2 linked regions of the Drosophila melanogaster genome follow. Changing the gene in region 1 together with any one later gene gives a genetic interaction. Each region holds a gene or a part of one and is shown on either strand. Other genes may lie near its edges.

Region 1 (4,756 bases):
TGGAGGCGCCTGGTTTTGGCTCTGATTCTGCATAATTGCTGCTGGCTGATCGGATTTCTGCTCCAGCTTTGCCTCCCCTCCCACTCCTGGTGTGGTAATTGCGACCGCACTAACAGGTAGAGCCGTCGCTGAGGCGGTGGCTACCTGTTGGCTGCTTCCTCCGCTAGCTACTGTTGTGGTGGTGGTGGACGTGGCCACAGATCCACTGCTACTACTACTACCTGCCGCCTGCGTGGCAGTGGGCACCGGAGGAATCACCGGACGTGCCAGTTGATCCTCCAAACTTCTGACCTTCCCCATGCTGGGCGCCCGTACGTTGATAACCTTGCGGGCGGAAAGAGGTGCCGAAGCTGAGGCGGAACCAACGTGAGCCGAAGTGATGCTTATCTGGTTGAGGCTATGACTGCTGCTGTTGTTTTGGAGCAGTTGCTTTAGAAGTGCATTATCCTCCGCTGCCGAGCGTTGGTTGTTCATAGGTGTGGCGTTCACTGTAGGATTGGGTGTGCTGGGATTCGAGGCAGTTGAGGTAGATGTGGCCATTTGAATTTGATTGGCGGACTGATTTTGAACCTGGTTAATAGCCGTCATTGTGGCATTGGCGTTCAAACGCTTCTCCGGCGTGCCGATCTCCTCAGCCCGCTCCTCACTGGTCGGAGTACCAGTGCTATCCTTCACAACCGCCTCCTGTTTGACCAGTAGCTTTGCTTTAGATTCGCTGCCAACTTCTTCCAGCTTGACTACGTCCGGAGCCAGACTAACGCTGAGTTTGGTGGGCGTATTGGCGGTCGTTAGTTTCAGCTGCATTGAAGCTCCCGAGGTAGCTGATCCGGAGTTTGCAGAAGATCCCGCCTTGTCTGCACTAGAATCCTGAATCAAAGCATGATGCATCTGCAGCGCCGCCTGACTGGACAACGTGGTTGTAGTTATCATCTTCGGTTTTTGCTGGGCCATGGTCGTCTTGGACAGCACCAGGGATATGTTCTTGTTCTGAATGGAGATTATTGGCCGCGTGCCCATCATCGGACTGTTTATGCAGATGGTCCCCGCCGAAACGGAAACGGTGGAGGTGGTGGCCAGATCTGAGGCATTCCCCGAAGCCATGGTAAACGTCACGGGTGTGCCTGCTCCACTGCCTACCGCGGAGATTGATTGGCTTTGAGCAGCCTGTGAGTGCTGCTGCTGCTTAAAGATGTTAAAGCTGGGTGGACAATTGAGTGTATTCTTGTCGAGCGGCTTAATCACCACGCTGTTGATGTTGGTGAACTCCTCCGGGCCTCCAGTCGATTCCTGGGACTTGCTCTTGTTGAGAATTTTTTGAAGGTTCTCCGAGTAGGCTGTAATCTTTCGAGGCGCTGGCGCATCGTCTTCCGAATGGGCCGCAGGTCCCACAGTTGCGGAATCCTGAACCATTGCGTACGTTTGGCTGGGGTTGGTGGTGGTGATAGTCACTATGCTGCCTGTGGGCGGAGCCAGGCCTCCACCACTGGTCACCTGCAGCTGCTGAAGCTGCTGCTGCTGTTGGATCTGTTGTTGGTGCTGCTGAAGTTGCAGCATCTTTTTGCTCACCACCTTGGTGGCCACAATTTTGGTGTTCGCCGGCTTGATCTGTAGCCCCGAAAACGAGACAATGGTGCCGCTATTTTTTGGCCCGCGTTTGATAAGTTTGGTAAAGTTGTGATGTGCATGAGAATGGACGTGCGGGTGGACCTGCTGACCACCGCTTTGCTGCGCAGCACTCATTACGGTAGTCACCTGACCGCCCGGCTGCAGCAGTTGCTTGCTCTCTACAATCGTGGCTCCTCCGGCTGTGGCCGCTCCACTAGCGCTCATCAGCGGCTTGAGCAGCGGCACCGATATAGTCTTGTTGCCAATCGACACTTTCGCCGTGGTCTGCGTTACTTCCGACAGCTTCTTGGCGTTAACCATCAGCTGGGTTTTCATCTTGGGGTGAAGATTCACCCGGTTTAACAATGTTGTAGTGGGCGTTTGGCTACCAGTGGCCGTGGTATTGAAGATGTTGTAGTTCGTGTGACCGGATTTCTGTGTGAGGATTGTAGTGGTGCCGGCTCCACTGACTCCTGCCGTTCCGTTGTTAGCGTTTAAAATAATGGTGGAGGTAGTAGCTCCAATAGGCGTTCCTGCTGGTGTTCCCGTTCCGGTGGAGTTACCCACAGATGTAGAGCTATCCGCGCCGCTGGCTGGCATCAGTACGTAGTCGAGGTCCTCAGATTTGCCGGAGTTTTCAGCATGATCCTGCCCCGAGCCACTGGGCTCGATGGAAATGACGGACGCGGTTGACGATGATGACGAGGCCGACGATGAGGCACCCTCCTTTTTGGTAAAGCTGGTAAAGGCTGTGTTTCGGTGTAGCAAAGGGTTAGATTGACTGTTCCTTGGAGTGCTGATTCTGTACTCACTCTGCTTGTCAGCGTCCTCCGCCTTGATGGCACCCATCTCAGTGCCGGAGCCGAAGTTGCACACTATGATCTGCTGATCGCGGGCGTCCCAGACGCCGTCCGCCGTCTCGACATCCTGCGGCTCCGACGCAGCTTTTACCTGCGCCTTAGCCTGCTGTCCACTCCGCTGGTAGAGGAGCTGCTGCGGCGCGGTGCTCGACGCTTTGGCGGGCAAACTGGGCGCTGCCGTTCCAGTTCCGAGAAGCAGCTCCGTCTTGGCCTTCTTGCGCGTGGGATCCTCCGCCGGAGTGGCGGTGTCGTCGCCGCTGCGCTTCTGCAGGCTGACCGCATTGAAGGCAGCGGCGGCCACGGATGCTACTCTTTCGGGTTTCGCCTTTTCGGCGGCACCAAGCGATGTTGTCACCTTCGGTATATTCATAACAAACACACAAGTGGAAACGCGGAACGCCGGATGCGATGCGCTGCGTTTCGTGGGACGGGAAGGGCGGCGGTCTAGCTAGCTAGGGCTCGCGCGGCCTGCTTTTTTTTTTACCGAGCGAAAACATGCACGATTAGTCAAAAAAATTTTATTTTCGTGTATGCAGAGCAGTGTTACCAGATGGTAAAACGACCATTACCCTGAAACGTTCTTACCCATCCCTGGTTTTCCACTCAGAAACCCACCACTTTTCCCATCCCATTTCAACATATCGCCATGGCGGTTGCAATCGAATAACGTTTGTACAGCAATCATTTTTCGTTAACTTCAGAAGTTTTTAATACATAACATAATTATTGTGTTCCACGTGCAATATGGCACATTTTCAACTGCAAGAATAAACCATAGTCTGGACAGGGCCGTCAGCTCACTCGACCAATCGGTGGTCTATCGATATATGTTTTTAGCACCACATTTATTAGCTCGATCTGGCAACGGTGGCCGTTGATGCAACACATCTTTGCACAATACAATTTTATAAATAAGTAATATATTTTGACATAAACTCACCATGCTCTCATTAAAGTTAGTCTCCCAGCTCTTTAAGCAAAGCCTTGCGTGTAAGTTGCAGTGGCGCTTCCTGCCTAGCCACATCCAATCCGATAACAGTTTGCAACAAACCACTTAAACTTTTCTTTGCAGCGGGCAACATGGCAATTGTCAACACAGCCGGTCTTAAGTATTTCGCTCCGCCTATTAAATACCAGAGTAAGTAGTTGCATTTAAATGTGCACAATGAATTTAGAGCAATAAATGAATGAATGTGGGAACCCCCAGATGTGGAGCAGCCGGAGAGACCCAAGCTGAGGGTCATTGAGCGCCAGCCCCAGCTGCCGCCAAACATCCGTCCGCCAAAGATGCAGAAGCGCCTGCGATACATGCGCGGTCCGGAGATGGTGCACAACACGCTGCTCCATAAGCAGTACGCAATCGTGGCCACTGGCGGAGGGCGCCTGCGCTGGGGCCACTACGAAATGATGCGTTTGACCATCGGACGCAAGATGAACGTCAACACTATGTTCGCCACATGGCGCGTTCCCGCACCCTGGCAGCCGATCACTAAGAAGGGCCAGGGCCAACGGATGGGCGGCGGAAAGGGAGCCATCGACCACTACGTGACCCCCATCAAGGCCGGTCGCGTCATTGTCGAGATAGCCGGCAAGTGCGAGTTCGTTGAGGTCAAGCAGTTCCTGCAGCAGGTGGCCAACCAGCTGCCCTTCCAGGCCACCGTCGTTTCCCAGGAGATGCTCGACGAACAGCGCGTCGCCGAGGAGGAACAGACCCGCCAGAATGAGAACCCCTTTACCATGAAGTACGTGATCCAGAACAACCTCAGCGGCTGCCACCGTTGGCTCTCGCCCGTGGACCACAAGTGGTTCGGCAAGCACCTGTAGATGTATAGCTTCAATTAATAAAGCCATCCTTCGTTAATCTGTTACGAAACTGTTTCAAGTACTTTTGAAAACTGGAAATATCTTAAAGTAGGTTCGAACTTCGAACTTAGGGCTCGTTGTTCCAAGCCGTGACTCTGCGGCACCCAATTGTGGAGCAAATAAGAAAAACGCCATATGAAGGGAAATGTACGAGTTCTATTGCAAACATTTGTTTAATTTTCCATTTCGTTTACGTGGGTAATATGTAATGCATCATATAATATGTTTTTCTTGCCGTTTCGTTCGCATTATAATAAATGTATAATATTATGCATGTATGCGTGTGTGTATGCTTTGTCGCGGGGTATGGTGTGTGAGCAAATAGCCTTCTCCCACGGACTTCAGTTCTGGAAGCAGAACTTTGACCTGCCGCAGCTCCTCGTATTTGTCAAGTAAAATCCACACCTTCGTTGATCTAGTCAAGTTTC
Region 2 (4,948 bases), on another chromosome or scaffold:
TTTTTTAAGTTATTGCAATAAGCATATATCTTACATGGTTTTATAACTTCTGTCATTTTTATTTTATAGTGTAAATTGTTGGATACTTAAATATATTTTATTTATAGAGGAATTAGAAGTAATAGATTTTAATTCAAGAATTGTAAATCACTTTGCAGCTATCATTATTAGAGTTTTGCTATAAGCTTTATAAATGGATTCTCTAATGTTGTGCACTGATGTGCTCGAAAACTAAGACTTAGGCCGCAAAATTTTCCAGCTCCACCAATTAATCAAATGAACCTAATACTTCGGGACCTGCGTATCTCAACTTGCACTTTTCAGCTCATTAAACTGGAAATGCTGCCTCTTCGTTGATGGAGCCAAAATTCGCTCCGAGAGTTTTCTGCTAATAAAAGTCCAAAGTTATGGCAATAATAGCAGCAGCAACAGAAGGTACAACAATTTGTTTTTTGCCGCTGTCGCGTGGGTGCAAACACATTTATATGTTTTCCCACGGTTAACACGACGTATGCGTAATTTATGTCGCTAGACGGCACCAGGTGCACGGATCACATAGCGCGGTTTTCATATTTCCAAAGTTCCGGCGCGAATTTGATGAATGTTTGCACTTTTTACGGCTCCTTCCATATGAGCGGTCTCATTTGAGGATAGTGCATTCATAAATTATCCACTCAAGAAAGTTGAGTTTAATGAGAAGTTTTTAAGCTCAAGCTCAAATGGAGCGGTACTTAAATTAAATGACTATTGTCACACTTAAAATTTGGCTTGCCAATCATTAGCTTTTATTTACTCTGGGGATTATTTTGAACAGCCTTCAACAATGTATTTTGGTTTATTAAATGTTTTAATAGTTGTGAAATTTTCTGGGATGCATATGCCTATGCATATTATGCATATTACGTATTCGTAAAAACTTTTGTTGATACACGTTTGTTTTTAAGTGTTACCTTACCTATTTAAGATTATATAAATCATCTACATTTACTTGGCTTTGATTTTAAAGTTTCCTAAATCTCGACGGAAGGAAAATCAAGACAGACGGAATATATATACCTTACAGTTTCGAAAACACTTTCTTCCACGCCTTTTATCAAATCAAGGACATCTCTCCAAATCTTAAGAACTAATCTCATATGTAACATTTAAACCAAACAGACCATCTTTAAGACCGACAGATGCCTTGATCTTTTTATAAATGCCACATTTCCTAGGAACTGTCCTATTCCATAAAATCGAAATATTAATAAAAAAGAAAGTAACATAAATTGTAAATAATACTATGCTAGTTTTTATTATAATCCAAACAACTGAACAACATTGGACTAAGTTACTACATGTAAATAATGCATTCAAAGAAGATTATCATAAACAACCTACACAGCCGAAGTTCCTGCACACAGTACTATATTATATAAGTAACTTAACTTAAACAATAAAACCTAAAAACAATAATAGCAATATTACACCCCTTTACTCTACAAGAAATGAATATAAATGTGGCAGATATTTTTCAGTGCTACCACAATTTCATAATTTTTAAGAACGTTGGGCATTGCCAGACTGAAGTGTAGAACTGTAGAGGTTCGTGTACTGACTAACTTAACGATAGATTGTACACAAGCCAGTTCATACAATCTTTGTATAAATTCGCAAACCATGCTAAAAGTAAATGTTAAGAAGCAATTACAATTTTTATTTATTTATATATCGCTCTATCACCGAAAAGTTACAACATTTGGTTGCACCCGCTCGCGGCGCCAGTGTAACCGTATCATTCGCCTTTGCCACGCAACTTGTAAGATTTTGCCCAATCCGGCCAACGGTCCCACTTTGGGGGTATTTTCTCAAATGGGGCAAATGGTCTCCAGCAGATTCTCACTTCATGCTCGGAATCGCACGGACGTGTCGCGGATGTCGGAAGGTGGAGCTCCTGTGAATTGCTCTTGTGCCCCGCGCACAAAACCCCAATAATAGCCAAATCGGGCAGCGCCTGCAGGCTTTTGTGTGAATAAAACGGTTTGTGGCGACATTTGTTCGATTTTTAGGTGTCGCAAATTAAATTCGTTTGCAAATACAAGGCACTTACGCACACAAACGCGAGCGCACGCACAAGTGTAGGTGTGAAAACAAGTGAAACAGAGAGCTGGGAAAACAAACTGGGCTGCATAGATACTGGCTAAATATTGGATTAAGCTCGTATAAAGATAATAATAACAACAACAATCAATCGAAAATGCGCGTGCGACAGAGAGGGTGCGAGTGTGAATGAGGAAAAGAGAGCGAGCGCAGCACGCACACAAACACTAACACGCTGACGTCGACGCGCTGTCTGTGCAGAGGAGCAGTGTTGCCAGCCCACAATACTGCTGCCCGAGAATCCCAATTAAATAATTAATAAGTTCGAATCAGAATTGGAGTATCTGAGGCAGGGCTTTTTGCTTTGCTTACTCCTTTTCCCCGATTCGGCTTATTGGCATTGGGCTCTGCTCTATGCTCTGAGTTGGCAACACTGGCCCCCAAATCGAGTGTGGGCAAGAGAGATAGAGAGACATAGAGAGCAATCGCGAGAGAGTCACATGCTAGGCGCTCATTTCAATTTTCCTCAATGAATGAACACTTTTCACGGTTTTCGGTTCGTCGGTTCGCGTTTTCCACAGTCGTGCGTTGTTTTGCTCGTGGAAAAGTTGTAAAGCCCAGCCAGCCATAATCCAACATTTTGTTTGCAGTGCATTTGCAGCGCGGGAGAGCGAGAACCAACGGCTTAGCGAGCAGTTAAATAATTTTTAAAGTGTTTGTGTTTTTAACGTGTAAAACCCGAAAAAGTCTATGCCTTTTGCATAACAAAAACAAGCCGAGCAAATAAAATAAAAGAGAAAAACAGCAATAAACACCCATACACGTAAACATATACGTACAGAGAGAAACGGACGCCTACGTCAATAAGCGAAAAACGGTAAGCGAAATTCTTTTACCCCATGTTGTATGTGCTTGCCAATTGGAAAATTTTGTATTTCCCTTCCCGCTTCCGTTCTCGCCATCTCACTTCCCCAGTCTCTCTCTCTCTCTCTCTTGTTCCCCCTCTTCCGGGCTTGCTCTTACACTTGCTTTTACGTTGTTGGCAAGCAGAGCTTCATTCATTTCCACAACTTGCACACATACACATACCAGCACACCCCCGCTCTCTGGGAATTAGAGAGTTGGCAAGAGAGCGGTGGGTCTCAGTGTGACCGTGTGTATTTGTTGTAGCTGGTCAGGCCACAAAATTTGTATTCAAGAAATTCTATTCATTTGTTAAATAAACCCTAAGCCTCAACATTTAAACATTTGCACATCATATTGTTCATAAAATACAAAAAAGTCGTAACAATAGCTCCTAGAATTAATATGTGCGTGTGTATGTATGCATTCTTTATCATTGATATGTTAAATGTGAAATGTTGAAATTCAAATTAAGCTCTGCCTTTTTGTAAACAAAAACAATGGGGTGAAAATCAGCTACTGAAATTAGCTAACCATTAAAGTTACTGGTTTTGGTGGATTTTATTAGGGAAATCATGATTAGTATATGAAAATTAGTGGACCACAAATGAGTTAATAAAATCATGGTGCACGGGAAACAATATTGCTGTATTAAGATGTTTTTTTTAAATTTTTTTATTGATAGAAAAACTGTCGTCAATCAAATCAATTTAATTTGAACACTGTACCAGCCTCTTTTGCTGTACATTGGTCCCACAGTTGCCAACTGAAGTTAACCGCCCCCACTCCCCTTCATCAAACACACACACAGACGCACTTGCACTCTGACTGGCTGGCCATCGATGTGTGTATGTAATTAGCAACAAAACTCTCGCTGGCAACTGCATCGCATGAGATTTGAGCGATGCGTTGCTTTTGTTATTGCTATTGTTGCGTCTGCCCGGACCAAATGCTCCCTCTCTTTCTCTAGTCGCTCTCTCCCACCCTCTCTACTGCCTAATTTACATTTGAATGTGCGTGAGCGCCCATTTGTTGATAATTATCAGCAAATTACTAGACGCACTTAGCAGCAGCAGCAGCAACAACAACAATGGGAGAAGTAATGCATACATACAGCGAGTTAGTACAGTGGTCACTATGAAACATAATACAGAGATTAATGCTTAATCGGAATTGAAATTTACACATTTAAGAATTAAAGTAATTCAGAAAAAACAAGGTAATATTCGAAAAAAAACATATTTGAAATGCCCTCTTTACAAAGTGCAAACGTATGCGTGTACAACAAAAAGGCGTGTTTCAACGACATTTATAATGCAGATTTCACTCCCCGTGCTGACCTTAAAAACAGTTTTTTGTTCTATTATTATTTTCTGTCATTCGCTCATACGGGTAGGTGGGGTTATTGAATTTTTAGAATAATTAATCAACCGCAAGAACTTTTGTTGCTAATTGGCAAGTCGTCGGTACAGAAATATAAACCCGTTGCTATGTCTACGATTTCGGTTTGTGCATATATATTGTACATATGTACATATGGGTATAGTATTAGTATGGCATGGCAAATCCAACTTTGGTGGCAAAAACTTAGTTATTCACTCACACGCACACACACAGCGAAAGAAACGCGCACGCCGATTGTTTATTAATTTTTTTTATTTGTACAAATTTGGTTTATCGTTAGCGGCAAATGTTTCTCTTTTCATTTTTATTATTAACTTCATTATTCGAGGCATGGCACGTTTTTCTTGCCTAGTTATTTTTTTGTTTCGATTTTTTATTACATCGCGTTGATGGTGTGTTTGAGTGTGTGTGTGCCTTTTATGGCCAGGACAATGAGCCAATTTTGGTATTGAAGCTAGTTTCTCAATTAGGCCAATGCACTGGTAGAAATTTCGACGCAGTTACTCCTAAAACAATATATATTAAAAAGAAGTATGGAACTTATTTACAACATGGTTAATAT

What was found. Genes that interact genetically often act in the same process or in processes that back each other up.
Region 2: of trr (region 1) and cic, changing one suppresses a phenotype caused by changing the other (phenotypic suppression), as found in Drosophila melanogaster (one study listed by BioGRID).

What each region holds. Positions count from the first base shown.
Region 1 is NC_004354.4:1,886,941-1,891,696, forward strand, and holds the start of trr (trithorax-related), read right to left. Parts: upstream 3,011-4,756; 5' UTR 2,836-3,010; coding exon 1-2,835. Other genes in the region: mRpL16 (mitochondrial ribosomal protein L16), read left to right, coding at 3,407-3,455, 3,538-3,603, 3,673-4,289. UniProt on the Drosophila melanogaster protein: Histone methyltransferase that acts as a coactivator for the ecdysone receptor during development. Specifically trimethylates 'Lys-4' of histone H3, a specific tag for epigenetic transcriptional activation.
Region 2 is NT_033777.3:20,250,898-20,255,845, forward strand, and holds the start of cic (capicua), read left to right. Parts: upstream 1-1,872; 5' UTR 1,873-2,956; intron 2,957-4,948. UniProt on the Drosophila melanogaster protein: Transcriptional repressor required for the specification of numerous cell types during embryonic development. Required for terminal patterning of early embryos.